Kluyveromyces lactis: one gene and its partners. The protein of the gene in region 2 interacts with the protein of the main gene of each other region in a biochemical or structural test. Links are inferred from orthologs where the notes say so. Each region holds a gene or a part of one and is shown on either strand. Other genes may lie near its edges. The genes, in order: ATG32, ATG11 and YPT1.

Region 1 (11,275 bases), on a different chromosome or scaffold from region 2:
GCGAAGGATGATGGTAGGATGGAAGAAAGAAGAAGAAAGTACAATCACGTGAGTGTTCATCTCAGAAGTATGGATGAGGGAGCCTTCTGAGGTTCGAAGGAAGCAAGGCGGTACTTTAAAAGAGATGAGATCAACAATCATTCGTGCAATGTGATTTGATGGTCTTGTTTCAGCAAGGGATGATACAGATTCCCTCCCCTTTCAAAAGAAAAGATCAGGAAACCTTAAACGCTGATTGCTGCTCCTGGATGAGAGCTGAAAAGATAACGGAAGCAGGGGCGCCAATAGGGTAAACCCGGTCAAAACGGGTGTGGCAAGACCCAAATAGAGCTAATTAAATCTGCTTGTTTTTTTTCGTAACCTAATGAACCGCTAGTCAGTGCACTCATGTTCTATATAGTGAATACACAATGACCGGAAAATATTGTCTCTCCTCAGGTAATCTTCACTAGCCTCCCTTGTTCATAGAAGAAGTGTGCGACCACTGAAATTCTTGCAATACATTTAAGGTTTTCTTAAAACCTCAGTCAAAGTCATCTTAAAATGTTGCTTGCACCGATATCAGTGTGCTGCTCCGATTTGTAATCTACAACAGTGTCTCTAGCATAGTCACAATATATATATATATACATCAGGCAACATTCACTTGCATTTTATTATATATTATCGCCAAGAGTGGATATATTAAAAAAAAAAGGTTTAAGATCGTCCGTTGAAAAGTCGTTCTTCACACACTTTGTGGTTATCTTTTTTAACTATTTTACCGTTTGTTCGATCAACTAAAGCTCACCATAGCGTAAACTGAAGGGATAAGGCTTTCTATATTAGTTGTTGAGTGGAGACTTTTTAGTATTTTTCTCCGCTTGGTACTATTTCATTATTATAGGTGTCAAGTTTTAAGTTTCAAGTGCCAAGCATCAGCCCGTGACTCAATACCACATAGATTCACAAAAGAAGAGTCGTGTAGTGTTTGTCACACTGAAGAAAACACATATCAGAATCTGCATTTTTTTTTTGATTTTTTTCCTACTAAGCTCTGACGTTGAGTGGCTGAACTAAAGTTGGAGAAGCTACTTTTATTTTTATAGATCTGTTGATTGATCCTCTAAACGTGTCTGTGTTTGTTGTACCTTAAACCAGTCTTTTGTCCCTCTGATTTGTATTCAAATTTCTTTTTGTTACATTACTTAAAGGTACGCTGATATTGATTTATTAATATTACAAAGCTCTTAAGGGTTTATTCCTCCTTGATTACTCTATTTGGGTCTTTTGAAGAGGTATAGTTCACAGCCATAACTCTTGTCTCTGATTAACTGATAATCTTTGATTTTTATTCGGACTCTATTCTTCTCCTTTTCGCGAAGTCTTAGAGTGAGCTAAGAACTCATTTATAAAGGGGTTTGCTAGTGTTTGTCGTATTGTCACTACAAAGGGTCAGTTGAATATTTTACTATTTTTTTCTGTTAACAGATGTCTGGGTCTAAAGGGGTCTGGGGTGCACCTCCTGGTAACAATAATCGTCAGTTATATTCACTAGATGCTGGAAGCAGCGGCAGCGGTGTTAGTGCCAGTAGTGCTCAGCGACACAGTATTCTCGATCCACATGACTCAGTTATGGATTTATTGAACGGACAGCAAAGCTGTGCATTCGATTCCAGGCTGATCCAAAATCAAGATTTAATCGATAGGAAGGGTAAAAGTAACAATATTGATCATAATGATATTAATACTCACACTCATAGTAAAGGACTCACAGATTCATGGCAGGCCATTGATCGGGATGAATATTCTTTTTTAAATGCTGGAAATCATAATAACTATCATAATACCTCAAATGGCGACTTCAATCAACAATTTGGCGGGGTGTTATCATCTGACACTTCTGAAGAAGAGGTTGAAATTAATGCTGCTCCTTCGCCTAATTTGAGTGCTTCTCAGCAGCACAACCAATTTCTAGCCTATCCTTTATCATCAACAGGTTTTGGTGATCAGGGAAATAGTGAAACTACAGTCCATCAGTTTTCTGACGGTGATCCAGTTAAATCGACTAAAACTGGTCAATTTTCAAAAGCAGAACTAGGTGCTGGCACTGGCGAAGATGAGACGATAATGGTCAATTTGGGCCATTCTTGGGCGGGCAGCTTTTTTGTTATGCCGAAATTGTCCTTATCGGAGTCTATGAAAAGATTCAAGATTTTAATTTTGAGCGATGGAGACTCAGCTAACTCTTTCTATAACCGTCTATCTCGGTATCACCGACTAATGTTTGACGTCGGAAAACTCAACGAAGCTTCAAAAGAGGAAGCATTGAAATATACTGCTTTCATGATAATCTTTTCAGATTCAAAGAAAGTGACTACAATCCTAAATAGAATGTGGAAGAAATACGGAGATTTCACTTTGATTCCAATATGTCAAAAGGGTCAGAAGCAAAGCGTCACGGAAAAGGTCAAAACATTTGCTAACTCTAACAAAATAAAATTGATGTCGTACCCTGTGGTAATATCCGATCATTACGAGATACACGGGTTGTTGCGGCATTTGCACTCTCTATACGTTGAAGTAGATTCTGACTATGAGACGGATATACCTAAAAAAACTAAACCAAGAAAAGGTGCAAAAAAGAAGCCGGCCCCTCATCTTGCAAAAAGATGGTGGTTTTGGCCAATATCTATAGCGCTTGGCGTTGGGATTGGGTGTTGCGTCACCTTTTATTTCAGCAAGTTCGAGACTTCCTCGTATAATTCATCAGTTGGGGTTATTCAGACAGCAGATAAGGAGATCGATGCTATTGTTGACGCTATAGAAGGAAATTCACCGTCAATACTTGAGGAAAGCTCTCCGCAGTCAATTTCTGATTTCTTGGGTCAAGTGTGCAAATTAGTTAAGGATACTGCTATCCAGATCAATGAATTATTAAAGCAGTTTCTTTCGGCTCATTTAATGACGTCTGCTTGGATTCAATCCATTGGTAAAGAATTCATGCAACCTGACTCGCAGAGTACCATTTCAAAAGTCACTGCTTTGGATTTAGTGATGTTTTGAACCGGGGTACGTTTATATGCTGCAATTTGGTGTATGTAGTGATGTAACTAGATGTTGTTTTTTTCAAAAGTATGAATTGTTGCCCAACTTTTGTTTTCAGATTGAGCCTTCAATATACAATTTTAGTCCCTAAATGTCAATAGCACAATATTCAATTCTGAGACTTTATTTCAATCTGTTTTTATTCCCAAGGTTTCTCATTTAGTGATTTGTCTCAACTAAGTATCCCAGTTCATATAGGCTATCACAATCTATGTCACTTTAGACAGGATACTTTTTGATAAGTTGTGTATTTTATTTTTGTTTACTGTACAGGCTTGTGACATTTTTCAAGGTTTAAACCCTTACTTTATGTTAGTAAAAGATCCTCATTCACAAAATGAAAAACTTAGATGAATTAAAAGAAAACAAAGATCAAAGTTTAAGAAGTTCATTGGTTCTTGATAGGAGACGTCATGAGGGGATTGTAAATTGTCTGTCATTAATACCAACCTAACCTGTATTCCAGACTTCAACCTCGTATGCTAACTATCGGACGATAATAATTCACGATGTTGGCAGGCTTAAAGAGACGTTGCAGTCTTAAAGCTCTTCGGGAACGGTTTACACCGCCGTTTAATGTTGGTTTACGAACCCAACTTATTATTCTCGTGTGCTCTATTTGCGTTTTATCGTTAACAATCATTACGGTTACTACTGGGGTTTATTTCACAACGAACTACAAATCCGTACGAGCTGAAAGATTACAGGTTGCAGCACAATTAAAATCATCACAAGTTGATCAGAACTTGAATTATTTATACTATCAAATATATTGGTTGTCTACAAGAGACACATTACAAGATGCGTTAGTCAATTTTAGAGCTGGTAATTCATCTAGAGATAATTGGAATTCTGCAGAAGACAGTTTAGAAAAGTTTCTTGGTTCTTCAGGTTTGTTCAGTGCTGCTAGAGTTTATGATACGTCTTTCAACACCGTAATAAACTCCACCAATAATGGGTCTGGTGACAACATTCCGGAAAACGTTTTAGCAGAGCTCTTTCCTCTATCTGGCGTAGAGCCTTTGTCTTCTTCGCTACTAACTACGGGTATCGTTACAGATCCGGTATATAACTGGACAAATTACTTGTTGTCCATGTCATTGCCAGTTTCAACAAATCCATCTATTATTCTGAATACTAACGAAATTGCCGGCTATATTACTGTCATTGCATCGGCGGAAAGTTTAAAGGCTGTTGTAAATGATACAATTGCTTTAGATAAGTCATCCGTATCAATCCTATCTGCTGTTTTCGATAGTAATAGTTCACTGACTGGTTATCATTTCGTTTTCCCTCCGCATGGAACCTCATCATTCAGTTCAAAAGTGACTTTTCCAATTAAGAACGGCACGTTTATAGCTGATGCATTCGAAAATGGGAAAGTTGGTTCAGTTATGAAAACAAATATGGTTCAGGAGAGAAACATAGCAGTAGGGTATTCACCACCAACTTTTAAACTTGTAAATTGGGTGGCCGTTGTTACCCAACCTGAACAAGTATTCTTGTCTCCCACTATACGGCTTATGAAAATCATTGCTGGTACGGTGTGCGCTATTGCCGTATTTATGTGCTTATTGACTTTCCCTATAGCACACTGGGCTGTGCAACCTATAGTCAGACTTCAGAAGGCTACTGAAATCATTACATCTGGGAGAGACTTAAAGCACTATAGCAACACTGGCAATTCAGATTCAAATACTGCAATTACACATTCTAGGACTCGTAGCACATCTAACCAAAACCAGGTGATGAAGCTGTTCAACAAATCTGTCACCAAAGGTACGCCCAGTAATTATCTGAATCACAATTATAATGTTTTCCCTCCAAGTAGAACAGATTCACCAAGCGTTTCCGCAAGAAACTCACAGACTATACCCAGAGGCCCCGGAGACCTGACACGTTCAGCTACTACTGGATCTACCCCATTTTCTAATGATTCTTCTTCATATACCTCCGAACGATATATCAAATCAACCAACCTAGTGGAAGCATATGTCCCAGTATACAGAAGATTTTTTCAAGATGAACTATCAGAACTCACAGATACATTTAACACAATGACAGATGAGCTAGATAGACACTATGCTCTTTTAGAAGAAAGAGTTCGTGCTAGAACAAAACAATTAGAAGCGGCTAAGATTCAGGCCGAGTCTGCAAATGAAGCAAAAACAGTTTTCATTGCCAACATTTCTCATGAATTGAGGACTCCACTAAACGGTATCCTTGGTATGACTGCAATTGCCATGGCAGAAACTGATATGCAAAAAGTGCAGAACAGTTTGAAGTTGATTTTCAGATCAGGTGAATTGTTGTTGCATATTCTAACAGAACTTTTGACTTTCTCTAAGAATGTCTTAAAGAGAACAAAATTGGAGGAACGTGACTTCTCCGTTATGGATATTGCTTTGCAGATTAAATCCATCTTTGGCAAACTAGCAAAAGATCAGCATGTTAAATTGTCCATTGCCCTTACACCAAATTTCATTAGAACTTTGGTATTATGGGGTGATTCAAATAGAATCATTCAAATTGTTATGAATCTAGTCTCAAATGCTCTAAAATTCACACCAGTTGATGGTAAAGTTGATGTTAGGATCAAATTGCTTGGCGAATACGACTCAAAAAGGAGTGAAAGTGTCGATTATCAAGAGGTATTTGTGGTCCCTGGTTCTGAAGCAAATGATGATTTTGAGTTCAATTTAACTTCAACTACTCCCATGAGGCTTCCTTTCAATTCTTCTAGTGGCAGCGTTAATACTGCTACTAAAGATGGATCAACTTCCCCAACAACTAAGACAAAAGAAGGCTCAATTCAAGTCGAATCCGAAACGTCAACGGAGGGCAATGACAACGATGAAAGTAGCATTGTTCTTGAAAGTAAGCACGAAGAAAACGAAGACGAAAAAGAAAAGATGTCAATATTATCTACAAGTACTTCAAGCTCTTACGATGATGCAATTTTCCATTCGCAGTTCAAGAAAGTTCTGTCTTCAACGGATTCAGATACGGAAGAGAATACGTTCAGAGATCTTAAGGTACCAAAGACTTGGGTTATAAGTATGGAAGTGGAAGATACTGGCTCGGGTATTGATCCTTCACTTCAAGAATCTGTTTTTGAACCGTTTGTTCAAGGTGATCAGACGCTCTCTAGACAATACGGTGGAACTGGCTTGGGCTTATCCATTTGTAGGCAGTTGGCAAAGATGATGAAAGGTACAATGAAGTTGGATTCGAAAGTTGGTGTTGGAAGTAAATTTATTTTCACTGTGCCACTACAGCAAACAAAAGAGATAGTATTCGATGGTGCTGAAAAACAGTTTGAAGATGAGTTCAATATTCACAGCAGGAAGAACAGAAAGGTTAAATTTAAAATCAATTCCTCTAGGAAATCTGTTCAAACAAAGAAATCTAAATCTAGTATCGACGGACATAGCGATAACAATGTCAGTGAGAGAAAAGCCAGTAATTCTACTGAAAATAGCGTTGGGAATGTTCGTGTTGATAGACCATTTTTACAAAGTACGGGTACGGCGACCAGTACTAGGAGTATATCATCTGTAGCAAGTGAAGTTACTCGGCATAGAGTTTTGGTTGCTGAAGATAATAATGTCAATCAGGAAGTTATAAAAAGAATGCTTCAGTTAGAAGGACTCACAGATCTTGATATGGCATGTGACGGACAAGAAGCTTATGAGAAAGTTGAAGAAATCTTAAAGAATGGCGAATCCTACTCCATGATATTCATGGATGTTCAAATGCCGAGGGTGGATGGGTTGTTGGCTACCAAAATGATCCGGAATGATCTATTATATAAAGGGCCCATTGTTGCGTTAACCGCATACGCAGATGATAGCAATATTAAAGTTTGTCTAGAAAGTGGAATGGATGGTTTCCTACCAAAACCCATTAAAAGACCATTGTTAAAGAAAATAATCGCACAGTACTGTTCGAAAAAAGAGAAACAGAGAGAAGAATAGATTTGCGAATGTAACATTATATAAAACTTAAAGGTACTCATACACATGTATATTTCCGACCCTTAATACATTCGATGTGTTAAATATCCAGTACAGTGCATTACCGACAGTCACACAAAGCAACGCTCAGGAACGTTCAATGATATTAAACAATGTTAAAGAAGATTTATATTTAAATCAAAATAATAGATCTGTAAAGCTAATATGAAAAAACACATATGATAGTGAATGTGCGTAAATATGTATGTACTCCATAGTGGTAGCAGAATCGACTATTTTAACTTCTTCTTTGGACGCAATTGGTTGGTGTGACCACACTTTCTCTTTCTACAGTTAGTAGCTCTTGGTGGCAATCTAGCGTAACACTTTCTGCAAACGGACTTTTCACAGTTGTACTTAGAAGCCAAAGCCTTTAAAGATGGTTCAATGATACCACCTCTCAATCTCAAAACCAAGTGCAAAGTGGATTCCTTTTGGATGTTGTAGTCAGACAAGGTTCTACCATCTTCCAATTGCTTACCAGCAAAGATCAATCTTTGTTGGTCTGGTGGGATACCTTCCTTGTCTTGAATCTTAGACTTGACATTGTCAATGGTGTCGGAAGATTCGACTTCCAAAGTGATGGTCTTACCAGTCAAGGTCTTGACGAAACTGTTTTCAAAAAGATATGATTTGTTAGTAAAAGTTTGAAACTCGATCAGAACAAAGTTCTTAAGGCAATCTTATTGGGACGATTCCTAGAATTAGTGAACGTTCAAGTTAATTTTGCTAGATTAGTAAAGCTTAATAAAAAACCAAAAAAAATTCCCTCTGTAGGTATGAATTGTTGTGCATTTGATAGTTAGGAGGTGATAGGTCCCATTAAACTGCTTCCTTGTATCCTTATTCATTCTGCAAAGCGTACTTGCTTTCGTTTGAAGAAATCGTGACATATATCTCACTCAACAGTTTAGACCGCGTACTCACACTCTCCGAAATGAAACGCTCAAGTTCTCACAGGATAGCGACTATCATGATATATGTTACACCAAACACAGTAAATCCTTGTCATTTTCATTAGTTGTTATCCGAGTTCGTCTTGTTGTTTTTTAGCTAATGTGCTTTCGTCCCATTTCAAAGTAGCATAAACCGTCTTGAATCACCAAGAAACCCCAAAATAAGATGCCTTTTGCTTATCATATTGTGCATACATTTGCATTTTTGAATCTTGTCCTTTCCTGATCTTTTTGATAGTAATCAACAACTAAGTACAGCTATCTTAAGTGCGTATGATTAAATGATATAATCCAAAATACTTTGAGTATGAATTCTTGCTTGCTTTCCTCAATCTGGGTTTGGTACATAGAAAGTTGGTGAACCTGAGGAATCGACAACGAGCAAAAACGAAGTGATTTCTGCAATTAGAAAATAAAAATACCGTTTTGAGGAATATATGCATTTTTAATTGTCAAGCCCCGAAATTTATACACCCAGACACACTGTTGAATAGTGCACGGATGTTGTTGCAAACCGTCCCAACTTGGAACGTAGAATTTTACTGGTACCGGTTACCCTGATTGTTAGTTTAGATACGACTTCTGTATTTCGTTCTGCAGTCAGTTCGTGGTATCTGGTCGTTATTTTGAATTTCACCGAATTGGACCTAATATTGAAATTGAACAAAAATTACCTGTCAAGAACAAAGCCTATGTGCATTGTATATGCTCATGTATACCTGCAGAAATTTTTAGTATACTTCTAATTGAATATCATAGCGATTAGCTTGAACACTAGGTAAAAGTAGCGTCTTATAGATTGCTATTCCATTGTTGTGTTGTGGAGTTGAGAATGTCCGTAGAACCCATTGCCTCTAGGGTCGCAGACTTTCTACAAGTCGACCAGCAACTGATACAAGACATTAATAATGATGTTTTAGGTAGGATTGAGGAGAAGTTGGAAGATCTTCGGAAACAAAAATCTGAAAACCTAAGAATAACTGCTACCTTGGATCAATTAAAATCTCAATCAGAGAACAAACTAGAATCATTCAAAATTCACATCTCTCAACTAGCCAAGGCATTGGAAGATGGGAAGGATGAGCGCTTACACTTTGAAGAAGAGAAAAGGCGTCTAATTGAAGGAAATTCACAAGTGACCAAAAGAATCATAGAATTGGAACAAGAAATAGAAGTAGAGAGGCAACAAAAAGAACTTGCTGACGCTTCTAAGCAAGATATTGCAGAGTCACTAAACGAAAAAATTGAAGAACTCAGTTCTACCAAAGCTAAATTGAATGAAGCACAGGGAGCGAATAAGGAACTTAGACAAAAAGTCGTCAATACTGAAACTGAGCTACAAACTCAGCAGGCCTTAGAGCTACGTTCGAAAAGCGAGATTTTAAGGATGGAACAAGAAATCACATTATTGAGAGAAAACAATGACTGGTTGACCAATCAGTTAAATACCAAGACCGTACAACTCAATGAGTTTAGAGAAAGCACAATTAGTGAATTACAAGATTCTCAGTTAAAGGTATCGAATATGGAATCAGAGTTGGAAATAGCTCGAACCAGTAATCAGAAACTAAAACAATCGGTACACAGTTTACATGAACAACTGGAGCAAAAACTTTCCGAGAACAAAGAAATTAAAGATGAGTACAATTTCTCTAAACAAGAGCTTACGAAAGAGATGTCTTTAAAGCAGAGAATGATTGATGCTCTAGAGAAACATATGGAATCATTGAAGAAAGAAATGGATGCTACAAAGAATAACATGGACTCATCATATTTCACCGAAAAAGAAAGAGACGAGCTCATTGAAGAGCTCAATGCGGTCAAATATCGTTTAGACGCATCTGAATCTAACTGCATAAAACTTAAGGAGACAATCGATGAATTAACATCCAACATAAAATTAGAAGACTCCGAAGTTGGTAATACCACTGCGTCTTCAGAAAAATCGGTTTCTGTCATACCTAAGTTATATGGTGATTTGGGAATGCTCAAAAAACAGCTGGTTATTGAGAAAAGACAAAAAGACGAGTTAAAAATGCAAGTGGAAGCATTCGTTGTTGAATTAGAGCATAAAATCCCTGTTCTCAATTCCTTCAAAGAGAGAAGTGAAATGCTTGAAAGAGAGTTAAATGAGGTTACTATTTTGTTAGAGTCAACTGGCAAAGACCGTGATCAAAAGTCGTCACAACTTGATTATTTGAAAGCTACTGTGAAAAGCTATGAGACTCAAATAGCCTCCCTATCTAAGCAACGTGTTGACCTTGCCCATCAGATACAGTACTTACTCGTGAACGAATCTATTAAGTCAGAGGATGGCGGACCATTATCCGCTGAAGAATTGCAATTTGTCAAAAATCTAACCAACTCTCAAGAAATAACAAAGACCTCTGACACTCAAGGCATTATAACCGATCGACTAGTAGAATTTAGATCAGTAGTTGAGTTGCAGCAGAAAAACTCCGAACTTCTTTCTACAATTCGCAATCTTGCTGATGAATTAGAACGCAGGGAAGCTGAAAACAAATCTCAAATCCAGGTATTAGAGGATGAAACGGTGAGAGAGGCAAAAGAAACCATTCTTACACTTCATGATCATGCACAGAACCTTGAAAACCAACTAGTCATTCTATCAAAGGAGAGGGACGCATACAAGGCATTGTCAGTAAATGCTAGCTCTGGCACAAACACACCTAAGGCCATTACTTACCCTTCTCCTGATAATGACGATAAAGTGAAGGATCTCGAAACAAGACTCACCGCTGTCATTCAAGAAGCAGAGAATAATGCCAAGGAATGGTCATCAGAAAACAGCAACCTGCGTAAGAAATTATATGAAATATCACTTAATTTCGAATCTGAGAAAACTTCACGTACTCTTGCAGAAGATAGGTTAAATCTATTACAATCAACTTTAGAGCTTTCCAAACGCCAATGTGAGGAGCTACAAAAAAGATCATCTGATCTACAAGATATTTTAACAAAACAGGACAAACGTACACAGGAGACTGTAGATTCCTTAATCAAAACGAAATCCACTTTGTCATCTATACAATCGGAACTATCCATCTTGAAGTCTGAAAAACAGTTTATGGCAAAGGTTCAAAAGGAACTGAAGGCAGAGAACGAAAGATTTTCCAAAGAAAGTGTCGAATACAAGGTGTTAATTGCGCAACTTCAGACACTCCAACGTGAGAGAGAAATGTTACTCAAGGAAAC
Region 2 (11,829 bases):
TCAGACCCTTTTCTTTTCTCACTCACTTTGTTCTTTGATATTTTTGTAAACCTTGCCCTGTTTGAATCTTCTCACCGACACATGTGTCTTTATAAATGTATAACTGTTTATCTTATCTATCTTGGGATATATTTTGTAATATTAATTGGCTAAAGTGATGATGTATGTTTGATTGTTGGCAGGTAGGTGGCTCTTTGCGAGCCCGAGTTGAGGACATGGTATTAATAGTCACGTGATAGATTACCCGGATATATTTCCAGCCAAACGCGTGGTTTAGGAAAGGAAGTAAAAAAAAAAAAAAAAGAACGCGTCTCACTTTTTTTTACCCAGAACAATTTTCAATGTTATATAACTATATCTTTACTCCTTCAAGGCCGTGAAACTACTGCTCCTCTCGATAGTCCAAGAGTATTCACTTCTCACCTCTGACATCAAACAGACCTACCTATTATCAATGCTAGAAGCTAAATTCACAGAAGCTGGGTTATTCAAAAGAATTATCGATTCCTTTAGAGACTGTGTCCAATTGATTAACTTCAATTGTTCAGAAAAGGGTATCGCTGCACAAGCCGTCGATGACTCTCGTGTCCTCCTTGTCTCTCTTTCCATCAATGTAGAAGCATTTGAAGAGTTTAGAGCGGACAGAAATGTCGTGCTAGGTTGCGATTTGACGAACTTGAGTAAGATTCTTCGTTGTGGTAACAATTCGGACAATCTAACGCTTATCGCTGAAGATTCTCCAGATTCTATTCTAATCTTATTCGAAGATACAAAAAGAGACCGTGTCAGTGAATACTCTTTAAAATTGATGGAAATCGAAACAGATTTCTTGGAGATCTCTGATATGAAATATGAATCCTATATTACAATGCCATCTGCTGATTTCGCGAAGACCGTACGTGACTTAAGTCAATTGAGTGATTCTATTAACATCTTAGTCACTAAGGATACCATCAAATTCGCCGCAGAAGGTGATATCGGAAGTGGGTCCATTGTTGTGAAACCTTTCACCGATTTGGATCATCCTGAAAGTTCAATTAAAGTTACCATAGAAAAACCAGTAGATTTAAGGTTCGGTGCTAAATATTTAAACGACATCATTAAGGGGTCCTCTCTATCAGATACAATCACTATAAAATTATCGGAAGAAGCGCCAGCCCTTTTCCAATTCGATATCTCAAGCGGTAATTTGCAATTCTATTTGGCTCCAAAGTTCGATGAAGAGGAATGAAATCTCTTTTCGCAATGCTATATATATATATATATTGTGTGTGTATTAAAATGACAATTACTGATATAAAATCAATTCAATTTACTTTAGAGTATGGTGTCGGTAGGAAAGGAATCCATCCCCAGGAATGTGCTTCTCACACAACTTTTCTCTGTAATCGGTAAAATGAGTTTAAACGCATCTCCCTGGTTCAAATAATACCGGAATAATCTCTTCATTCTGATGAAGCCCATATTCTCGTATAAATGCAAAGCAGCTGCATTGCTGCATTCAGTCTCCAACATAATCTCGTCACATTTTTCATCAATCATAGTATCTATAGCTAAGGTAATTAGTTTTTTCGCTATCCCACGGCCTCTATATTGTTTCTCCACTGCTAACATGCCAATGTATCCTCTTAACCGCACTCCATTATGAGTATCGCTCTTGCATACTATACATCCTATGGGCTTACCCGATCCTTCTGCCCATGCCAAATACGTTAGGTTCGGCCATTGGTTTAGGAAAAATCTGTACACGTATATCGAATATGGCTCACTGAGATCCTCATCGATCAATTTCTTGATGGTGGAAAACTCCATGTCATTACTGATATCGAATCGTGTGTACCTTATTTCGACCATCCTTTGCTTAGTTTATCTGCAGTATACTTTCTTATTAATTTTTAATTAGTTATATCAATGAGAGTAGATGCTGCCGAAGCTAGCGAATATAAAAAGCTTTACTTAAAACTGTTTATCTCATCATCTGGAGGTTTAAAACCAAATTTTTATAATAAAAGCATATCAGTCACGTGCTCTTGCTTCACCAAACTGATTCGAAAAAAGATTATATGGACCCCCCGGTAAGTTTTATAGGTGAGAAAACCTGTTACATAGTTTTTCAGTCCCCTGACGTTTATCGGCTCTTATTCCACTTGTTGCTTACGGCTTTAGTACTCCAGATTAGATATATCTCAGCATTTAAAGAATACTCATGATATAGAATCCTGTGAGCTAACACCCCCCATTTCATCATCATTAAATCGACATTGTCCCTTTATTTCTTTCCAAAGTCTTAAGGTTACAATCTGATAATTTTATTAATAATGCCGCCATGCAAGTTGATATGTGCTACATCAGGAGTTTCACACCAATTATCTAATGTTTATTTCCCTAGTTTCTTAGATTTGAAACAGTTTGCAAGTGATACTTTCCAGATACCGCTCGATGACATACTTCTATTGTTACCTTATGGAATGATATTGAAGAAAGCAGGATGGGATTCCAGAAAGCTGCAACAAGAAGGATTGGAAGAAATATACGTATTTGACCGTGGAATATTCAATGAGGAGATCGAGTTTTCCCCAAAGCCAAGGTTCCAACTTTTCAAACCTTTGCCATCGCCGATAAGCGATTCGTTACAGTTGGATAAAAATGTCATTCTACGGAATTTAGGGTGGTTGAAGGCTTTGCAATCAGACGTTGAATTTTTCCAGGACGTTATAAAAGAAACTTATCAAGACGTTCAACGGTTATTAGAGTGTGGTACTGTTATGCTTGAGTATTTGAAAAACTACTGCTATGAAGTGGAGGTGCTGTATAATGGCAACGTTGATTTTCTTAACAAGCTTCACGAAGATGGTGCCTCAAATCAATGGCATTCCTTTTATGATAATATTCTCGGCAATATTAAAGTTTCTAATCAGTTATTATCATCATTTTTCAATTATAGCGAGCTAACAGAGATCGAGGATTCCATTCACCGTCTGGATCGTGAACTAAATGCGAAGTTAAAGGAGTTAAAGAAAAGTATTGATGAATGCTACCAGCAGAGAACACAGTTAATCTCAGATTTAGATGATGTGAAAAAAAATTCAGTTGTCAGTTCTGATGATATGGACAACCAAATGGTTGAACGATTTAAAGAAATGGCTACAGAGATTGAGCTTGTATCAAATCAATATAAAGAAGAGGCTTCTAAAGATGCTTCAAAAGAGAAGTTTGAAACATTCAAAAGTGTACATGTCCCCAAATTACAAACAATTTCGCAAGCAATGTTCAATAAAGCTTCCACGAATTTAGATACAAAAGCTACTGTCCAGCAGAAGTTGCAACAGTTGTACCTTTCCGTTGCAAAATCGCAGATGAGCGTAATAATGGTGAAGTCGGTGTTAACTAAAGACGTTAAGACCAATATGAAGTTTTTGAAGAATGAAGAACTGAAATTATCTCAAGTATTGGATTTGCCTATGTGTTATGGATTGTATTTGATTGAGTTATACAGAGAGCAGCTCTGGACAGACCGTTACTCTCAACTTCGACAACAACATGAATCTTCATTGCAGCATCTTTTGGATGACGAAGTACGACAAAGAAACTCTTGGTACAAAGATTTCCAATGGATAACTCGATTTCTAGATGTTGATAGTTTGCTACCATCATCAGTATACATTCCGTCCATAAGTGATCATAAACAGGTGACATTGTCTCAGATTAAAGATTATATTAATCAACTTGCTTCATTGAACTTAGGTGAACCTACAATTAATTTACTTAAGTCAAAAGTCTCGCAGGCGGAGCTGACAGGCTTGCATTTACCTACAGATTACGCGCTCTCGAAGGACTCGGAGCTTATCATTGAAGGATACAAGGCTCGTATCAAAAAGCTAGAACATTTATTACTTGATGCACAGTTCCATCAGTACGACTCATGGCCAGCTGGCATTCTGAATAAGGAAACTGCAATGGTCCAAATGTTCCGCAATAGTACCGTGAGCACAAAGTTACAGCAAAGTTCAACATTCGATCTCCCAAGTTCCAAACAACAACACGAATCAAATAAAACCTTCGAGGAATTTCAAAACCTGCAAAAGGATATAAGCAAATACTCTGAATTAACCAAGACCCTTGAAACTGAACTTTCAACACTTAAAAGTCAACTTTCCCATATGGAGGTCGAGAAAAATGCTTACAGAGAATCCATGACAAATTTAAACAAAGAATTATCAACGTTGTTGATTGAACGCGAAAACTTCTATTCTGAAATGAATTCTCGTTCGGAGAATTTCAAGAAGCATTTAGGATCCCTCTTTGAGCAAAATGAGGAACTTGTAAGGGAATCTGAAGAATCCCGACGGAAATCCGAGGATTTAAACAAAATGAAAGAAGATCTTCTTGTCAATATGGCAACCCAAGAAGTTCAAGCAGAACAGGAACGGGCTTCCTTGCAAGAAGAAGTTGAAAGTCTTAAAAAAGATCTTAACCAATTGCAAATATCAAAAAGCAAAACAATTGATGCAGAGTTTATCAACTTTAATAAGCAATTGGAAAAAACTTTATATGATGTTTTCCAAGGTAGTATTTTCATTTTGGCGAGTATCGGGTTGTTACTTTCCAAAGATCAAGATGGAAACTTTCAAATTGTTCGCGTCAAAGGTTTAAGAAAAGATCTGGATTCAAGTTTGGCTGATATGAATAGTTCCATGGCAAAAAGTGTAATTGCACAAGAAATAAAGAGTACTTTCGAATCTATAAAGGATCAGATTGACTACAAACCTCATGAAAATTTCATTACCTACATAGAAAAACTATTTGGTAACCAATTGTTCGAAACGTCAGTGATCCGCAGGTTCAATGATATCGAAAGTTTGGCGAAAAAGCTTAGGAAAGAGAACAAGAATAAAAAACTCCTTTTGCAGAAAAGTGCTAGAGACAAAATTACAATATATAACTTCCAACCGGGAGATCTTGCTCTTTTTTTACCAATCAACGATCAGGAATTGCTATTAAATTCTTCAATATCGTCGCTAAATTCTTCATTTTCATCCATTGATTTAAACTCATCTACACAGTCTGTTATGCAACGTCCAAATGTTGTCAAGTCTGATATTGCAGCTAGCATTCTTAACGGAAGCTCTGCTTCTATCACAGAAAATATTCCATTAAGTAAAGCGAACAGGAATCCTGCACTCAACGCTAATGGCAGACCGGATACATTCAATGTTAACACCCAAGATTCGGCCAAGAAGCATGTTGTATGGGCAATTTTCACTGCGACAAATACTGATATCAAATACGTTCTTAGAAACTCAACGTCTAATTACGAATTATTGAAAGATAGGGAATGGGCAATGGGTAGAATCTCGGCCTTGGAAAAGCATGTGGTTGGAGATGATTCAAAGAACCCCTTTAAGTTTCCAAGAAATACCGTGTGGTATGAAGTTGACGCTTTTTTCAATCTTGACTGAACTACCATGTCTCTTGCATATACCTGTCAGTTCTTTCCATTTCTTTTAGATAATGCTCGGCTTCTTCTGCGTTTTCGAAGTTTCCATGTTTTTTCAGGATCTCAACTATAGTCAACCTAACCTGAACTGGCATTTTACCGGAGGATCCACAAATATATACTATGGCAGATTTTTTCAAAATTAGGTCTGCTATTAGACTAGATTGATTCCACAACTGATCTTGAACATACTTAGCATGAGGAGAATTTATGGGATCCCGCGAAAAACAAGTGAATAAATTAATTTTACCTTCTTTCTTCCACATAGATAACGTATCTTCATATAAAAAGTCCTTATCCTTCATTCTGTTACCAAAAAATAAGTACTGATCCTTGAATAAATTAGACTCGATCAAGCACTTCATTGGTGCGAGACCTACCCCCGGAGAAGTCATGATGATAGGTTTGCCAATAATATCTTCATGAAGTAAATGATTATTTTGAAGTTTATAACGAACTGTATCGTTTTCGGTTAATGTAAGTAGGTAGTTCGTGCATAGTCCTTTCCGTACCTTTCTTAACAAAGTCTTATAACGAACAATAGCAATAGTTAGTTCAACATTAGGATCAGATGGTGCACTTGAGATGGAATAAAATCTGGGCTTTATCATGGGTAGATAATCTAATGCGAACTCCCATGGAAGTTTTAAGAATTCAAAATCCTGTATAACCTCTAATACTGATCTTCTTGGTCTATTGCAATAATCATACAAGTCCTGTAGGTCTTGTCCATACCCGAACTGTCTTAGTTTATCCCTCTGTTGTTCTAATAGCTCTTGATCGGTTGGTCTATCTTCGTGAGCATTTGCAAAAGTCCAAGTTTTCATGAAGAAGCTCTGCCTAGGTATACTGACGATATCAAAATGATATTTTAACAAGGTTCTTAGAGTAAGTGGTTTCACAACACCACCATCTCTGAACCGATCACAATTTTCCAGGTCTGTTATTGTAAGAAGTTCATCAGCGACCTTCTTCCAATGAGGTTGAGCTTCGAGGAATAATTCAACGTCATTGTCTGAATTTTCGGGATATAAAGAAACTGTATCGCCTGGATGATAGGCTTCATGATCCTCGGTTTCAAACACAAATTGTCGAACGTCCTGAAAATGATCTTTAGCAGTTATTTGGTTGTTTTTCTTAACGGTTCCATGTCTTATTGTCTCATCTCCAACAAATTGAATCTTAGAATCAGGTAGCTGATCATTTGTCGATCCATTAACAGTGGATATTTCTAATATATTGCTCGGTTTCAAGTAAACATCTTCGGCTAGGCCTACTCTGGGCATCATTTTGCCATCGTGCTTTCTGTTGGGGTACTTCTCTAACATGTAGGCGATGATTCTTTTCTCAAATTCATAGTAGACGGATTCAACTCCATTTCCAGTATCCTTATTACTCCCAGCAAGTCCCAACTCATCAGCTTCTAAGCGTGGAAAAATCTCACTAGCGCCAAGTTGATTGACAATACGTTCATGAAGCTTTCTGATACCAAAGTTGAATCTTGGATACGAGGAATCACCCAACCCAAGCATGGCAACGTTAACATGATCTAAAAGATCCGCAGGAAGTGTAGATTTCTTCAAAAACTGCCAGAGAGTCCCCTGAGCCCGTCCATTACAGTTCTCTCTTGCGTTACGCGGTAGTTCTCCTTGTCCAGTCGTAGAGCAGATGATAAACAGGTACTTGCACTGCAGAACGCTTTTCGGATGGTAATCACCGATCTTAATCAATGTATGTGAGAAATGCAGTCTCTTTAACTTATGAGAAAGAATATGCGCAAAATCTTGCGCATTTCCTGTCTCAGAACCATACAATATGACAATCTTCTTGTTCTGCATGGTTTCAGTAGTCCGAAATACTTCTTAGCAGCTTTAAATGTGTCTTGAATCGTTTACAGTATATAATCTTTGATGTTCATCACATGTAATATGTAAGCTATCTCAGTATTTTTCACCTTGAAATCTTGCTGTTAAGAGAGATATGCGATAATAACGATGAACAGACGATGAATTAATGACAGTGTCGTTGTATTTCTTCTTAGATAGTGTTCAAAAAGAACTGTATGGTTACTAATTACCCACAGATCTTATTGATCACTAACCGTTACATATTGAAATGAATTTTTTTTATACTATTAACATGAAATCGCATCACTAGTAAATACGACGAATTTATATATAATATTTTGTATCTTGGTTATCTCAGTTCAACGCCGTATAGTTTCACCAGGGTATCACGAACTTTATCCTGCAGCTCATTGACTTCCTCGTTGGTGACGTTTCTGTCCATTGATTGATAGTTAATACGGTAACATAATGACTTTCTACCGGTTTTGGGGTGTGTGAATGAATCAATTAATTTGACACATTCAACCAAATCTCCTGCTACGTTTCTAACGATTTCCATTAGATCATTCTCATGGATAATGTCAAAGTTCTTATCTGTTGGAAGCCAGAAGGCCACGTCCCTGATGGTACCTGGATATTTAGAGTACGGTTTGAATTTGTTGATTGTGCCCTCTTTGAATTGGGAATGGAACCTTTCGTCAAGGGTCCAGAATAATCTGATATCAGGGATCTCGAATAATAGCATTGCAATGCGGTCAAGGCCTAATCCAAAAGCCCAACCGATGTTTTGATTTTGTTCATATCCAGCTTTTAATAAAACGTCTTCACGGATAAGACCGCAACCGCAGAGCTCAAGCCAATTGTTTTGCCAGAACACTTCAATTTCCCATGATGGTGCAGTCCATGGGAAATAAGCTTGAATCCATCTAACCTTCAACTCTTCTCCCTTCACGTTACCCATACTTGCCAACTTTCTCTTGAAGACTTCCAATACAACAAGCTCCAAAGATCTTTTCAAATGGCGAGAACATAAATCGACTTCTTCCATCGTCATGTATTCCTGCTTTGGATTACCTTCCAAGGAAACGTTATCTTCCACGACAAGTTTCACTGGGTCGTCTGCCAAAGTTTTCTCCAATCTCTCGAGATCTTCTTTAATCTTTAATAAATGTTGGTTATCCGGTTCCCTTTTCCAAACTCTACCACCTTCCATTTGATGGAACACCGGATAATGAGTCCTGTCAATCTCATCTCTTCTATAGACATCGGCAGAGATTAAAAATCCAGGCTTATCAGTCTTACCCACATGGCCAGGAACAAACCCATTGATATTCTTGAAACATTCCAACTCATGGGCAGATGTATGCGTTCTTAACAGATGACAATCGTTCAAGTAATAGGTATCAGATTTCGATCTACCGGGGTGATCTTCTGGGAATCCCAAAGAATCAAAATTCTCATGTACCGTAACCGCAGGTTTGAAATCGTTATAGATCTCGAATGAGTGATGAGGGTCGTTCAGCTTGTCCTCGATAACACTTCTTAAGATCCCAACAGGGTGTGATGGTTTCAAATAAACAGCGCGATCAGTCAAATTCAAAATCGAACTAGTTACATTCGTCTTATCTGATACTGGGTACGTCTTTCCATTCACAGAAAGTGTCTGTAATGCCACATTGGAGGTGCTAAACAACCTTAAACATGGTCTCAAAGTTGACAATATCGTCCTATTCGACATCGTTTCGGTATTAAAGAACCCTTAATAACAGTAAAACTGGGGCAATTCAATCAACAAAACAAAGGTAATCCCTTAGCAATGATATTACTAGTGATATTTCACTGCCTGAAATCACCAGAACAGGTATATCAAGTGTTGTTTAACGAGACTTTTGTATCTTCTTTTGAATGTATGTAGAAGGTCACATGATTTCAAGATATCTTCAACTTCACCAAAAATTTTTCAATAATGAAAAGCTTTAAGAGTAAGTAAAAGAAGATCCAGAGCATAGAAATTGATTTGAAAAGCAGCATAAAACAGTCCCTCGCGCCTCATTGCAAGGATCTTATTTCAGATCAGTGAGCCTCCTTTATCGTAAATTAGATCACCATGTTTTCCAGCGTTTTCAAGACTGGATTTCGCTCACTAAATCCATTAGAAAGTCTGCAAGTAACCGCTAGGCGTTTTACACATGAATATGCTCCACGTTTCAAGAACCAGACTAAGAAGCAAAAGGGTCGTGTGCCAGTGCGTACCGGTGGCTCTACTAAGGGTAATTCGCTTCAATTTGGTCAATTTGGTTTAAGATTGAAGTCTGAAGGTGTGAGACTTACTGCGTTACAGTTGAAGGAAGCCGATAATGCTATTATGAGATACGTTAGACCTTTGAATAACGGTCAATTATGGCGTCGTTTGTGTACAAACATTGCTGTTTGTATCAAGGGTAATGAGACCAGAATGGGTAAAGGTAAGGGTGGATTTGACCATTGGATGGTCAGAGTACCCACCGGTAAAGTGATCTTTGAGATGGCAGGTGACAATCTACACGAGAAAGTAGCACGTGAGGCGTTTAGAAAGGCAGCAACCAAGCTTCCTGGCCTATACGAATTCATATCGAAAGATTCTCTGGTAAGAGTAGGTATCAAGAGTGTAAAAGATCCAAAGGACGATCCAAAGATCAATTACTTTGAAGAACTAAAGAAGAAACCTACAAAGGAATATATTACAAAGTTGAAGTCCCAGCAACCGGAATATAGAATGTTCAGGGCTCGTTGAAATAGATCGATGTGTGTATATAAACGACTCTTTTACGTATAACTTTTGTGAGAGCTAATCCCACTATCTGTAAATAGGCTATCAAAGATTCAAGATTTAAAGTCCCAAATGAGTAAAGTTTGGTTGTTTGTCAAACTACAAAAGTTAATACTTACGTATATTTATCTATTTCACACATTGTCCTTGCAATGAACCCTTCTAAATGGTAGATTGCTTTGTTTCCAAGGTTGAGACGGTGATCAAAAGTGCATGCAGTATCGATAATTGCCAACTTCAACGGATCTGACTGGGCATCTGAAAGCAATTGCGTCGTTAATTCATGGACTATGGTTTTGGCAGGAATACAATGGGCTAATAGATCATAATTTATGGAACGGCATTCTACAAGGTTATTAACAGTTCTTTCTTTTAATATTTTCCTAGCCATTTTATGGATCACCAATTGCCAATCAGGTCTGTTCAAAGGTGTATCGTTTCTTAAATGCAATTCATTTTGTAGTGAGGTAGATTCTAGTGCTAAGAGTGACATTCTCAAGTTCCCCTTTGACAGATTCGCTATCCTCTCTAGACAATTGCCCTCGGCAGTTATTTTTTCTTTGGAACAACAATCCTGCAGGATAGACACAGTTTCTTGCAAACTTGGTGATGGTACTCTAACTAGCAAGCAACGAGACTTGATAGGAGCAATGATACTGGACATTGAATCACATAGCATTATAAGCCTGATGTTACCAGAGTATTTTTCCATAGTTCTTCTTAATGCTGCCTGGGCATCTCTAGTCAACGAGTCTGCCTCGTTGATGATAACGCACTTGTAACGATGTGCCAAACCATCCTTGGAGTCCTGGAAATCTACTTGTTCCATTTGAGCGACTTCCTTAATCAATTCTTGTATCACAACACGATCGTTGTTACCAATATCGCTCGGAGTAATCTCTAAATGGTAGGGACTACTGACTACATTCAACTCCAGCTTACGGTTGGATGGTGTGACGAACTGTCTAACGTCGATCTTCAGCTTGTAAACCCCAGAACCAAATATTTCTTGCAACAGTGCCATACATCTAGTCTTCTTACCAGCACCATTGGGTCCATAGAACAACAGATGTGGAAGATCTTGAGGTTGTCTCGTTAATGAGTACAATTGATTTGTTAATTCTTCATTGTAACTTAATGACTGTAGAGTCTTTGGTCTATACTTATCAACCCACAAAGACATTCTCGTATAGGAATTTTAAATCTTGTTAGTCGATGTAGCTCAATGTAACTCGCTGGAATGGCTCGTTCGCCTGCTATGCGTTTTGATTAATTGTCTCTCAAGTACTTTTCGTGATGCGTTTTATTAACAATTTCGCCAAACGTTTCTTCACGTTGACATTTTGAAATTCAAATGATTTCAAGTAGACGTAACTTCAATAGCCTTAAAACAACAACATCAAGTTAGATAGTATACCAGCAGTAGGTACCATTTTTATCTGTACACTTACTAGTTGTTATCGATTAGCAGTGCCACTTGATTATCTTCCTAGTTATTTGGTGTCTTACAAGTCAGAATCAAGAAATTAACAATGGCTTTAGGTCAGAATCAACAGAACAACATGAAGGGTTTGCAATTGTTCATTGCAGACCTTCGAGCAAACCAGAAGACTAAAGAGCATGCTAGGAGAATACAAACTGAACTACAGAATATACGGACTCAGTTTACCCAGAAA
Region 3 (9,674 bases), on a different chromosome or scaffold from region 2:
TTCAACTTAGCTTAAGAACTGAGTAAATATTGGAGCCAGTAGCAAAGAATACACTGTTTTATAAAGGTGACTTAGTTTCACAATACGCAATTGAGATATGAAAAATGCATTTGAAGTGAAAAGGTTGATCGGGCTGTTAGTTTGTATCGGTTTTATGTTAGGTATGGATACTTCGTCTTTATCATTGTTTCTTGGGACGAGCTATTTCAAAGAGTATTTCAAACAGCCAACTGCACTACAAACAGGTATGATGACAGGGGCCAACCAAATTGGTGGGTTTGTGGGGTGCCTAATGTCTGGGTCTTTGATAGAACTCATTGGGTGCAAATGGTGTTTGTGTGCTTGTAGTGTTATTTGGACCATGGGATCTGTCGGATCTTTTTTTGTGCTTGAAGTTTACACAATGGCTCTGAGTAGATTTGTAAAAGGGATTGCAGTAGGTATTCTATCTGTGCTTGCTTCATTCTATTTGATGGAAGTTTTTTCAAGCAATATAAGGGGGCAGGCCACAGCTTTAATGCAGATGGCTTTAACAATCTCCATTCTATCCATATACTTTCTCTCTATGTTACTTGATAAAATCCAAGGTCCCTTGGCATTTAAGATTACTTGGGGGTTAGAAGTGATACCCAGTTTATTGTTATTGATGCTATTTCAAGCACTACCGGAGTCGCCAAGATGGTTGTATAAGCATGGATATTCCAACAAAGATATAGATCGGTCGCTAGCGATTTTGAGAGTGAAGGATGTTGAGAAACTCAGAGAGAAGTTCGTTAGTGAAACGAAGCAAAAGCCAAAGCTTTCCTATATTATCAAGAAAGGTTACTGGAAACACATGAGTCTCGGTATAATAGTCCAGATATTAATTCAAATCAGTGGTATTAATGTTGTGATGTATTACACTATTTACATATGTGAAATGGTTGGCTTTGATGATGATGTCAGCTCGAAATTAACCGCAGGACCTTATATTGTCAATACGATATTTACCTTAGTCCCTGTCTTTTTATTAGACAAGTTTAATCGCAAAGTATTCATCGGGTGGGCAAGTGTATTTTTAGGTGGTATCATGCTATTGATAGGATTCCTAATTGGTGAAAGGGAAAGGCACGTCGGCGATGTTGTTTTGAGAAATATAGTTGTCGCCTTATGTTTCCTCTTTGTTTCGGTATTCTCTTCATCATTGTCATGCGCTGGCTTTATCTATACTAACGAAATCTTACCAGAATCCATAAAATCCGTGGCCTTATCAGTTTGTATATCGACAAGTTGGTTTACAGGGTTTGCCCTTGCATTAATGGCACCTTATTTAATGCAAATCGTAGAATGGTGGACCTTCGTAATGTTGGGAACATCAACAATAGCCTTAGCTTTCATTATAATTATGTGGTTTCCTGAGACGAGAGATTTGTCACCACACGATATTGACAATCTATTCAAACAAGACGCGCTGTCAGCAGAAGTTGAATATGAAAAGATAGAGTCGGATCAAAGTGCAGATTTTGAAAGTATTCCCGAGAGGTCTGGTGCGCCAGAACCTGACTCATTTGTGTGTACCACTACTACCACTGAAGTGACGGAACGTTGAATTATTAGTTTAGTCTTGTTTATCTATTGTACATATTAAATAATTTACTATTTCATAAACTAAGAATAACTTTCAACACTAAAAATCTTTGTTCTGGAACATATGATGATTTTAAATCCTTTTCAAATTATCAGATGATCAACTTAAGCAATTAGCCTCGCACGAATATTCAATAATTGCCGTATATAACTTTCAATTGGAGTTGTTTAATTTTAATGTTGAATTTGAATTTCGTTCGTATATAATCTCGGCTTATTAACTTATTAACTTTCATACTAAACTACCCACTTCATTTATATGAAGTAGAATATTCCAACAACATAAGATAGAAGATTGGAACTTGAATAATGACTGTGCGATCGAAGATAAATAAAAACAACACACAAAACAAAATTATAAAAACAAAGAAGATTTGGAGTAAAATCGTCCCTATATGAAGTTTTAATAATTGTTAGTTTTTTGTTTCATAAGCTTCAATTTTTGGGTTCATCTATATGAATCGATTCATCGTTTATTTTAATTGTATTCTTTTTATAAGAGTGTCAAGTAAAAAAAAGTGAAGGAGATTAGAAACACTTCAAGTGAACGATGGATGGACCAGATTCGTCGTATTCTTGCTTTGAGATCCACATTTGTTGGAAAGTGGTCAAAGAGGCCAAAATAGAACCACCGATCCAGACAGAGTACTTTCTTTCTGGAGGAGCGATGATCTTGACCTTCATAGAAGAAGGAGCCAAGGCGGTAATTTCCTTTTGCATTCTTTCAGCAATACCTGGGAACATGGTGGTACCACCGGACATGACGATGTTACCGTACAATTCCTTTCTGACATCAACATCACACTTCATGATGGAGTTGTAAGTAGTTTGGTCGATACCAGCAGCTTCCAAACTTAGAACAGATGGATGGAACAAAGCTTCTGGAGCTCTGAATCTTTCGTTACCGATAGTGATAACTTGGCCATCTGGTAATTCGTAAGACTTTTCAACAGCGGATGATTGAGAAGCAGTTTGCATTTCTTGTTCGAAGTCCAAAGCGACGTAACATAGCTTTTCCTTGATGTCACGGACGATTTCTCTTTCAGCGGTAGTAGAGAAAGAGTAACCACGTTCAGCCAAGATCTTCATCAAGTAGTCGGTGATATCTCTACCAGCCAAGTCGATTCTCAAGATAGCGTGAGGCAAGGAGAAACCGGCGTAGATTGGAACAACGTGGGTAACACCGTCACCAGAATCCAACACAATACCAGTGGTTCTACCAGAAGAGTACAAGGACAAAACAGCTTGGATAGAGACGTAGAAGGCTGGAACGTTGAAAGTTTCGAACAAGATTTGAGTCATCTTTTCTCTGTTGTTCTTTGGGTTCATTGGAGCTTCGGTTAACAAAACTGGGTGTTCTTCTGGAGCAACTCTCAATTCGTTGTAGAAGGTGTGATGCCAGATCTTTTCCATATCATCCCAGTTGGTAACGATACCGTGTTCAATTGGGTAACGTAGAGTCAAGATACCTCTCTTGGATTGAGCTTCGTCACCAACGTAAGAGTCTTTTTGACCCATACCGACCATGATACCTTGGTGTCTTGGTCTACCGACGATGGATGGGAAGACGGCTCTTGGAGCGTCGTCACCGGCGAAACCGGCTTTACACATACCAGAACCGTTGTCAATAACTAAAGCAGCGACCTCTGTTTAGAATAAAAAACCATCACGAGTAGCAGAATGCAGATTAAGGAACTAAACCGTACGTTTGGGTAGGTTAGGTGTTCCAAAAAAGTGAATTCAGCCATCCCAAATAGAAAAATAATTGTTAGTAACATAAGATAAGAAAACAAAAGTAACAGGTGCATTTTGGGTGATCATGAGGTTATGTGATTGTTCAACGCTAAAAGTCCTGTCGCGGACAAAATAGGGGCTAACCTTAGCAACCAGAAAAATAAATCAAAAAAAAAATAGGGACAACCGAACCACGAGGGGCAATGCCTGCACCACTTAAAGGTGTACTTTGATTCCTTCTTGGACTGGAAGGAATAACATTGTAATATAAAATCACATCATCACGTGACATCAAATTATCTTTTTTTGCCTATATTTTCCAAATTTCTTTCCAATTCGCCTCCTAAATCAGGTAAAAAAAACCCAAAATCCAAAGTTAGTCACCCAAAACCCAAGAAAAACACGTTATAGTAAGAAGGTAGAACCAGGAAATGAAAGATCCAATTCTCGAACAAAGCTTCTAATCCAAACCCCTATATATAAAAAAAACCCATTCAATTAGCGTTGTACATCTAATTCTAAATCTGATTTAGGGAGTTAGAGAATGGACAATGGCAGCGCAAAGCGCTGCCATTATCCTATCTTTTCCCTCCCAACATTTAACCGGAAACCTAACAAAGTAATAAAACATATCCAAACTTTTTAACCACCCAATTAACCCACCGTAATCAAATATACGTTTCCACACATACCAGAATCCATATTGTTATACTATAGCGCGTGAAGATGTTGTACAATTCCTTTTGCAATCAACAAAAAAACCGTTATTCTGAAACAACCTTTCTTCTCTTTGGATCGTAAAAGACAGTAAAGAAGGAGGAAACAAATCAAGATATTTCTTATTTTTCTTGTAAATTAAATCAAATTTCAAACTCTCTCATACAATAAATCGCACTAGCTGTCCAGAGAAACAGAAGAGAAAATTTCGAAAAAACAAATTAAAAAAAAAAAAAGAATTCTGATGAAAAATAGGAGACGATTGTCATTGTCCACGAGGCGGAGCAGTTGCGGTAATGGTTTTCTAGTGGTTACGTGGGATTCACTGTACAGCTGGAGGGGCGGACTTGCAATTGAAGGCTTTGTGAAGGCTGGAAGTTTGATATAACGTTGGTAGGCTGTCGGTAGAATAGTTATATCGTAGTATATTGTATTCATGAGGCAGTTATCGATCTCTGGATGTTAGTACATCTGGTTTATTTTACAATTCATTATGACCGCATATCGTCTTAATCCTCCGTATATTAATGTGTATATTCAAAATCACGTGACATATATGTACGTTACCCGGATTATAATGACTCGGCAGTTGAAATCTATACGTGAATATATGTTACGTGGATCATCATCAACTATCATTGAAGCAACGGGAAGGTATTAATAGATCAGGTTAATATTCGACAGTACATTTATGTACATCTATCTCTATCTCTGAAGAATCTCACCCACCCATTGTAGAATGGCTGGAAAATCGTCCAAGAAGATTGCTGCAAAGAACGCAGCCATCTTAAAGCAGTTGCACGTACTAGTCGTCGCTATACTATCTTTAACGTTATTGAGGAAATGGTTCAGTAATGGGCTGATTTCAACCCTAAAACCTATTCTTTTCAATGTGCCGATGTTGTTATGTTTATATATTCTCGAACGTACCGGTAGACCAAAATATGAAGTCAGTAACGCTGCGCATGGAAAATATAAACTAGTTAATGAAGGGTTCGATTTGGAATCTGGTGGACTCACTGAATACATGAAAGATATCGTGTATGTTTCCTTGTTCTGTAACCTGGGAACAGTTTTCTTCAACACGATGAAATGGTGGTTCTTGGTATTAGTGTGCCCTGCGTTTATTTTCTACAAGTTGTACTACTTGAAGCAACAGTATTTCCCCGGTGCCTCAGCTTCAAAGGCGGATCTCGCAGAGACAACGCCCGCTGAACCTTCCAAATCAAAGAGACAATTGAAGAGGGAAAAACGTGGTGATAAATCTCAGGTAAGATACCGATAGATTAATGTTAGAGAAGGGGTTGTATATACTATATCCATCATATATCTACGAATACATTCTCTTATATATAGAGAAAGTAAGAAAGAAAGGAATAATGATTGTAATTGAAATTAAGTCTAACTATAATAGGCTCTAAATAGACAACCACCGGCTCTTTCGTTAAAGCTATGTGGGGCAAATGGTGCTTAATGTTGTTTGTGATGTATACGGGATATTAATTCTTCGAAATATGGTAATTATCAGACAGTTCTTAAATTCAGTTCCTGATTTTTCAGACACTTAGTGTATAGTAACATAGCGATGATGCTATCCAATTTAGCAACAACCACCATTGGATCCAGTCAATGATTGGCCCTTTAAGTTGACGTTGGACTTGTCTTCAGCTCTACCATTATCTTTTTGTTGTTTGGCGACACTTTCCTTGATTTGCTTGGTCATGATCAAGAAGGCCTCCTCAACGTTAGAAGAATCTAGTGCACTGGTTTCGATGAATGGAATTCCAATAGAATCTGCGAACTCTTTAGCAACTTCGGTGTCAACCACCTTCTTATCTGTCAAATCGTTCTTGTTACCAACTAGTAACTTCAACACACCAGCTGTACCGAAACGGTCGATTTCTTGCAACCATGTCTTGACGTTGTTGAAGGATTCTTGGTCTGTTACATCGTAAACGATAATTATACCGTGGGCACCACGGTAGTAAGAAGATGTAATAGTTCTGAATCTTTCCTGACCGGCAGTATCCCAAATTTGTAGCTTAACAGTTTTGCCATCTAACTCAACAGTCTTGATCTTGAAATCAACACCGATGGTGGATATATAGTCGTTGGTATAGGTATCATCGGCAAATCTTAACAATAAACAAGATTTACCAACACCGGAATCACCAATCAACAATAATTTGAACAAATAATCGTATTCGGTATTCATTTTTTCTTTGTTTGCTTGTAGTTTATAGCGACTGATACGATTCGACTGTTTGTTAAAAAATATGGGCTCCTTTTGTAAGTTGTGATTGGATGGACTGCGTTGTAAGTTTACAATATTTCTCTATTTTAAACACACCTTTCTGTATCCCTCGTTGTTAATATCTCTCCGTTAAAGAAAATGAGTAAAGGAAGTATAAGATAAAATATGATAACAACCCCAAAATAAAAGTCTATCCTTTAGTTAAGCTTTCAGTAAATATGCAACAGTAACCAGAAAAAAAGCAAGCGTCTTATCAAACCGCATTTGGAATAACTGAAACTATGCTATTGTTGCTTAATAGAATGTATTTCGGTCCAGGTTTCACTGTTTGAATTTTGTTCTCCTGAACGGAAAAGATTCCACAAAAGATTACCATCACGTGACACAGAAATACACAGTGTTGTTGATATAGATCAGTAATGAACCTGTTACACTACACTGAACTATTTCGGACAAGTAATGAAATGGATGAAGACATTACAAAGTTCAGGTAACTGATAGGAATGATTCGTAGTAATCTTTAGGGGAGATGTGAAACTCTACAAAATCTCACAGGATGTAAGATGCGAATGCAAGAATCTTTGCTTGGATGAGTTTTTTCTAAGTTAAGATACATATATATGTATGCATGTGTATATCTAGATGCTCTACTGACTAACTTGCAGGAAGACTCTATGAATGAACTTAAGTTTCGAGTTTCTAACTGGTTCTAGCGTTTTCAAGCAAGGATTCTATCAAAGAAGACTTTAGCCAAATGTTTAATGCCTAACCATTTGTCCATGAACATAGGCAAACGAGTTGAGATGAAGTTTTCAATCATCATTTGGTTCTGGTTACATAGCAACCTCATTTGTTCACTTTGATTGTATCTTAACTTAAAGAATATAGCGTATGCCCAGATTGATAGAAGTGTGAATAAACTCTTGGCATTGAATGTGATAAGCACAGAGATTAACTGTATGGGCAGCATGAGACACACTTTGCACATCGTTACAAGTTCTGACATCACTGCAGCATGGAAGAAAGACCCGTTGAAATTGGTGATGAAATACGAGATTTTATTTGACAATGAACCTTTTAACATGGGGTTCATTGGAATGAATGGCAATACATTCTCTTTGAAATAATTCAATGCATGGAACAAAGAGTATATAACCATAGATGATTCAGTTTGAGTTAAAGTTTTCCCTCCTGATAGAGAACATATCAAAAGAACAATGGAAAGTGTAAAATATTGTAGGTTATCCAACTGTCTGATCTGCTGTTTTAAATTCGACCACTGGAATCTTAACTGTTTTGATTTCACATATTGGTGAAGCACAATCCCATAACTGATCACTGTGTATAGCATGATCTTCCTGTAATTTGTCTTTACACTTTGTTCTCGGAATGAGAGCATATATTGGATATAATAGTATAAGCATAACGTGTGACCAAGGAACCAATAGAACTGAGGCTGTTTCAACTTCGTACGGAACACAGCACTCAGAGGGGCTACAGGTCTCTGAGCAGGCCTGTTGCCTCCATTTTGACCGGCAGCATTGGAATAACGATTACCACTGCCATTGCCACTTCCCTCAGACATCTTCTTGAAAAGAAAACCTTTAAAATGAAACCTTAGTAACTAACTCACGAAAGTTCTTTTGGAGACGAGATAATCAACTGCTATTGAGCCGCTAAGTTAAGAGTTCACAATCAACGATGACAAAAACACCTTGAAAAGCTAAATATGTAAACAGCTTTCGTCTTCAATACACAATCAGTTAATCAATTGATAGCCAAAAATATAAGAAAAAAAAAAAAAAAAGAGACCTGCTAACCTGATCCGATTCGATTCGGTTCGAAATAGAATACCGTAGCTTAATCAAAGTAACCTTCCGATTACTATATACATAAAAATGTAGCACTGGACAGATCAATTCCAACTAGTCAAACCCTCTTTCGCTTCTCCAACTAATAGGTTTCCTTCTCTTAACAAACTGTACTGGACGTTTTTTCCCTCTTTAAATTTCCTAATCCTGAAATCCGTTTCTCTTTAAATTTTCACATCGTCTTTAAATGTCAGCTAGAATCGAAAGTTAGGGAAAATTGCAGTATTCCAGTTTCCGTATGATTCTATCATATACGGAAAGTCAGCTGTGAAGAAAATGATCCGAGAAAATAGTCTGTTCAGTCTTTGGACTCATGGAACACTTCGACAACTATTCTAAATCTTAGGGGAATGTGTTGCTCACTTGCAACCTCAACTCTTGTCTTTAGATGAACTGACACTACGCAGGAATTCACACATCACAGTCACGTGCAAATCACGCGATGTAAGTTTCCGTTTCCCGTATTACCCGCACACTTAGCAACCCACAAAGGGAAATAGACGTGCTCGAAAATTGCCTAAAGAAGTGAAACAAAGATCAAAATACAAACAAAGATATGAGGAAAGAGAAGGAGGAAAAAAATAAACAAATAAAAACAAATAAATAAACAATTTAAAGTGGTTAAATAAGTGAACACAGACGTGATTGTGAACAGGCTTGCACGGGTTAGAGATAACTTTATAGATAACAGCTGTGAGAACTCGTCTATTTCGATTTGTTAGTTTGTTTGTTTAATATACTGTGGACAAGACTACTATTTTTACCCATATTATATTTCACTTTTTTCTTGTAAAGGACAGAGAGATCGCATAATTATTTTTTTTTCTTGAAAGAACAAGGATCAACAATTACTGGATTATAGATACCCCTCGATTGTATCAACACCAAGTCTTTCTACAATTTGCCTGTGCTGTGTTTCTTCAATTGTCATTTTTTGAGATCAGATCAATAACGCGCTCAGAGATATTCTAAAACATGAGAGAGATCATTCATTTGTCCACAGGTCAATGTGGTAACCAAATTGGTGCTGCGTTTTGGGAAACTATTTGTGGTGAACACGGTTTGGATTTTGAAGGTAACTATCACGGTATCGATGATATTCAAAAGGCTAGATTGAACGTTTACTTTAACGAAGCCTCTTCTGGTAAATGGGTTCCAAGATCCGTTAACATTGATTTGGAACCTGGTACCATTGATGCTGTACGTAACTCTAAGATTGGTACTTTGTTCAGACCAGATAACTACATTTTCGGTCAATCTTCAGCAGGTAACGTGTGGGCTAAAGGTCATTACACTGAGGGTGCTGAATTGGTGGATTCTGTCATGGACGTTGTCAGACGTGAAGCTGAAGGTTGTGACTCTTTGCAAGGTTTCCAAATCGCCCATTCCCTTGGTGGTGGTACCGGTTCTGGTATGGGTACTTTGTTGATCTCTAAGATCAGAGAAGAATTCCCTGACAGAATGATGGCTAC

The links.
Region 1: the proteins of ATG11 (region 2) and ATG32 form a complex in vitro, tested with the Saccharomyces cerevisiae proteins (2 studies listed by BioGRID). The link is inferred for Kluyveromyces lactis from reciprocal best matches to the Saccharomyces cerevisiae genes ATG11 and ATG32.
Region 3: the proteins of ATG11 (region 2) and YPT1 form a complex in vitro, tested with the Saccharomyces cerevisiae proteins (2 studies listed by BioGRID). The link is inferred for Kluyveromyces lactis from reciprocal best matches to the Saccharomyces cerevisiae genes ATG11 and YPT1.

Annotation. Positions count from the first base shown.
Region 1 is NC_006037.1:56,167-67,441, reverse strand, and holds ATG32 (mitophagy protein ATG32), read left to right. Parts: upstream 1-1,470; coding exon 1,471-3,045; downstream 3,046-11,275. Other genes in the region: SLN1 (histidine kinase), read left to right, coding at 3,597-7,064; RPL40A (ubiquitin-60S ribosomal protein L40 fusion protein), read right to left, coding at 7,337-7,715, 8,255-8,262; MLP2 (Mlp2p), read left to right, coding at 8,892-11,275. UniProt on the Saccharomyces cerevisiae protein: Mitophagy-specific receptor that recruits the autophagic machinery to mitochondria and regulates selective degradation of mitochondria.
Region 2 is NC_006038.1:1,056,540-1,068,368, forward strand, and holds ATG11 (autophagy protein ATG11), read left to right. Parts: upstream 1-2,318; coding exon 2,319-5,459; downstream 5,460-11,829. Other genes in the region: POL30 (proliferating cell nuclear antigen), read left to right, coding at 455-1,231; peptide alpha-N-acetyltransferase MAK3, read right to left, coding at 1,318-1,854; TAH18 (NAPDH-dependent diflavin reductase), read right to left, coding at 5,461-7,335; MSF1 (phenylalanine--tRNA ligase), read right to left, coding at 7,694-9,082; MRPL16 (mitochondrial 54S ribosomal protein uL16m), read left to right, coding at 9,452-10,117; RFC5 (replication factor C subunit 5), read right to left, coding at 10,269-11,336; APL3 (Apl3p), read left to right, coding at 11,686-11,829. UniProt on the Saccharomyces cerevisiae protein: Involved in cytoplasm to vacuole transport (Cvt), pexophagy, mitophagy and nucleophagy. Recruits mitochondria for their selective degradation via autophagy (mitophagy) during starvation, through its interaction with ATG32.
Region 3 is NC_006040.1:456,114-465,787, reverse strand, and holds YPT1 (Rab family GTPase YPT1), read right to left. Parts: upstream 6,293-9,674; coding exon 5,678-6,292; downstream 1-5,677. Other genes in the region: KLLA0_D05379g (uncharacterized protein), read left to right, coding at 98-1,588; ACT1 (actin), read right to left, coding at 2,155-3,272, 4,053-4,062; SND2 (Snd2p), read left to right, coding at 4,817-5,362; PER33 (Per33p), read right to left, coding at 7,050-7,916; TUB2 (beta-tubulin), read left to right, coding at 9,178-9,674. UniProt on the Saccharomyces cerevisiae protein: The small GTPases Rab are key regulators of intracellular membrane trafficking, from the formation of transport vesicles to their fusion with membranes.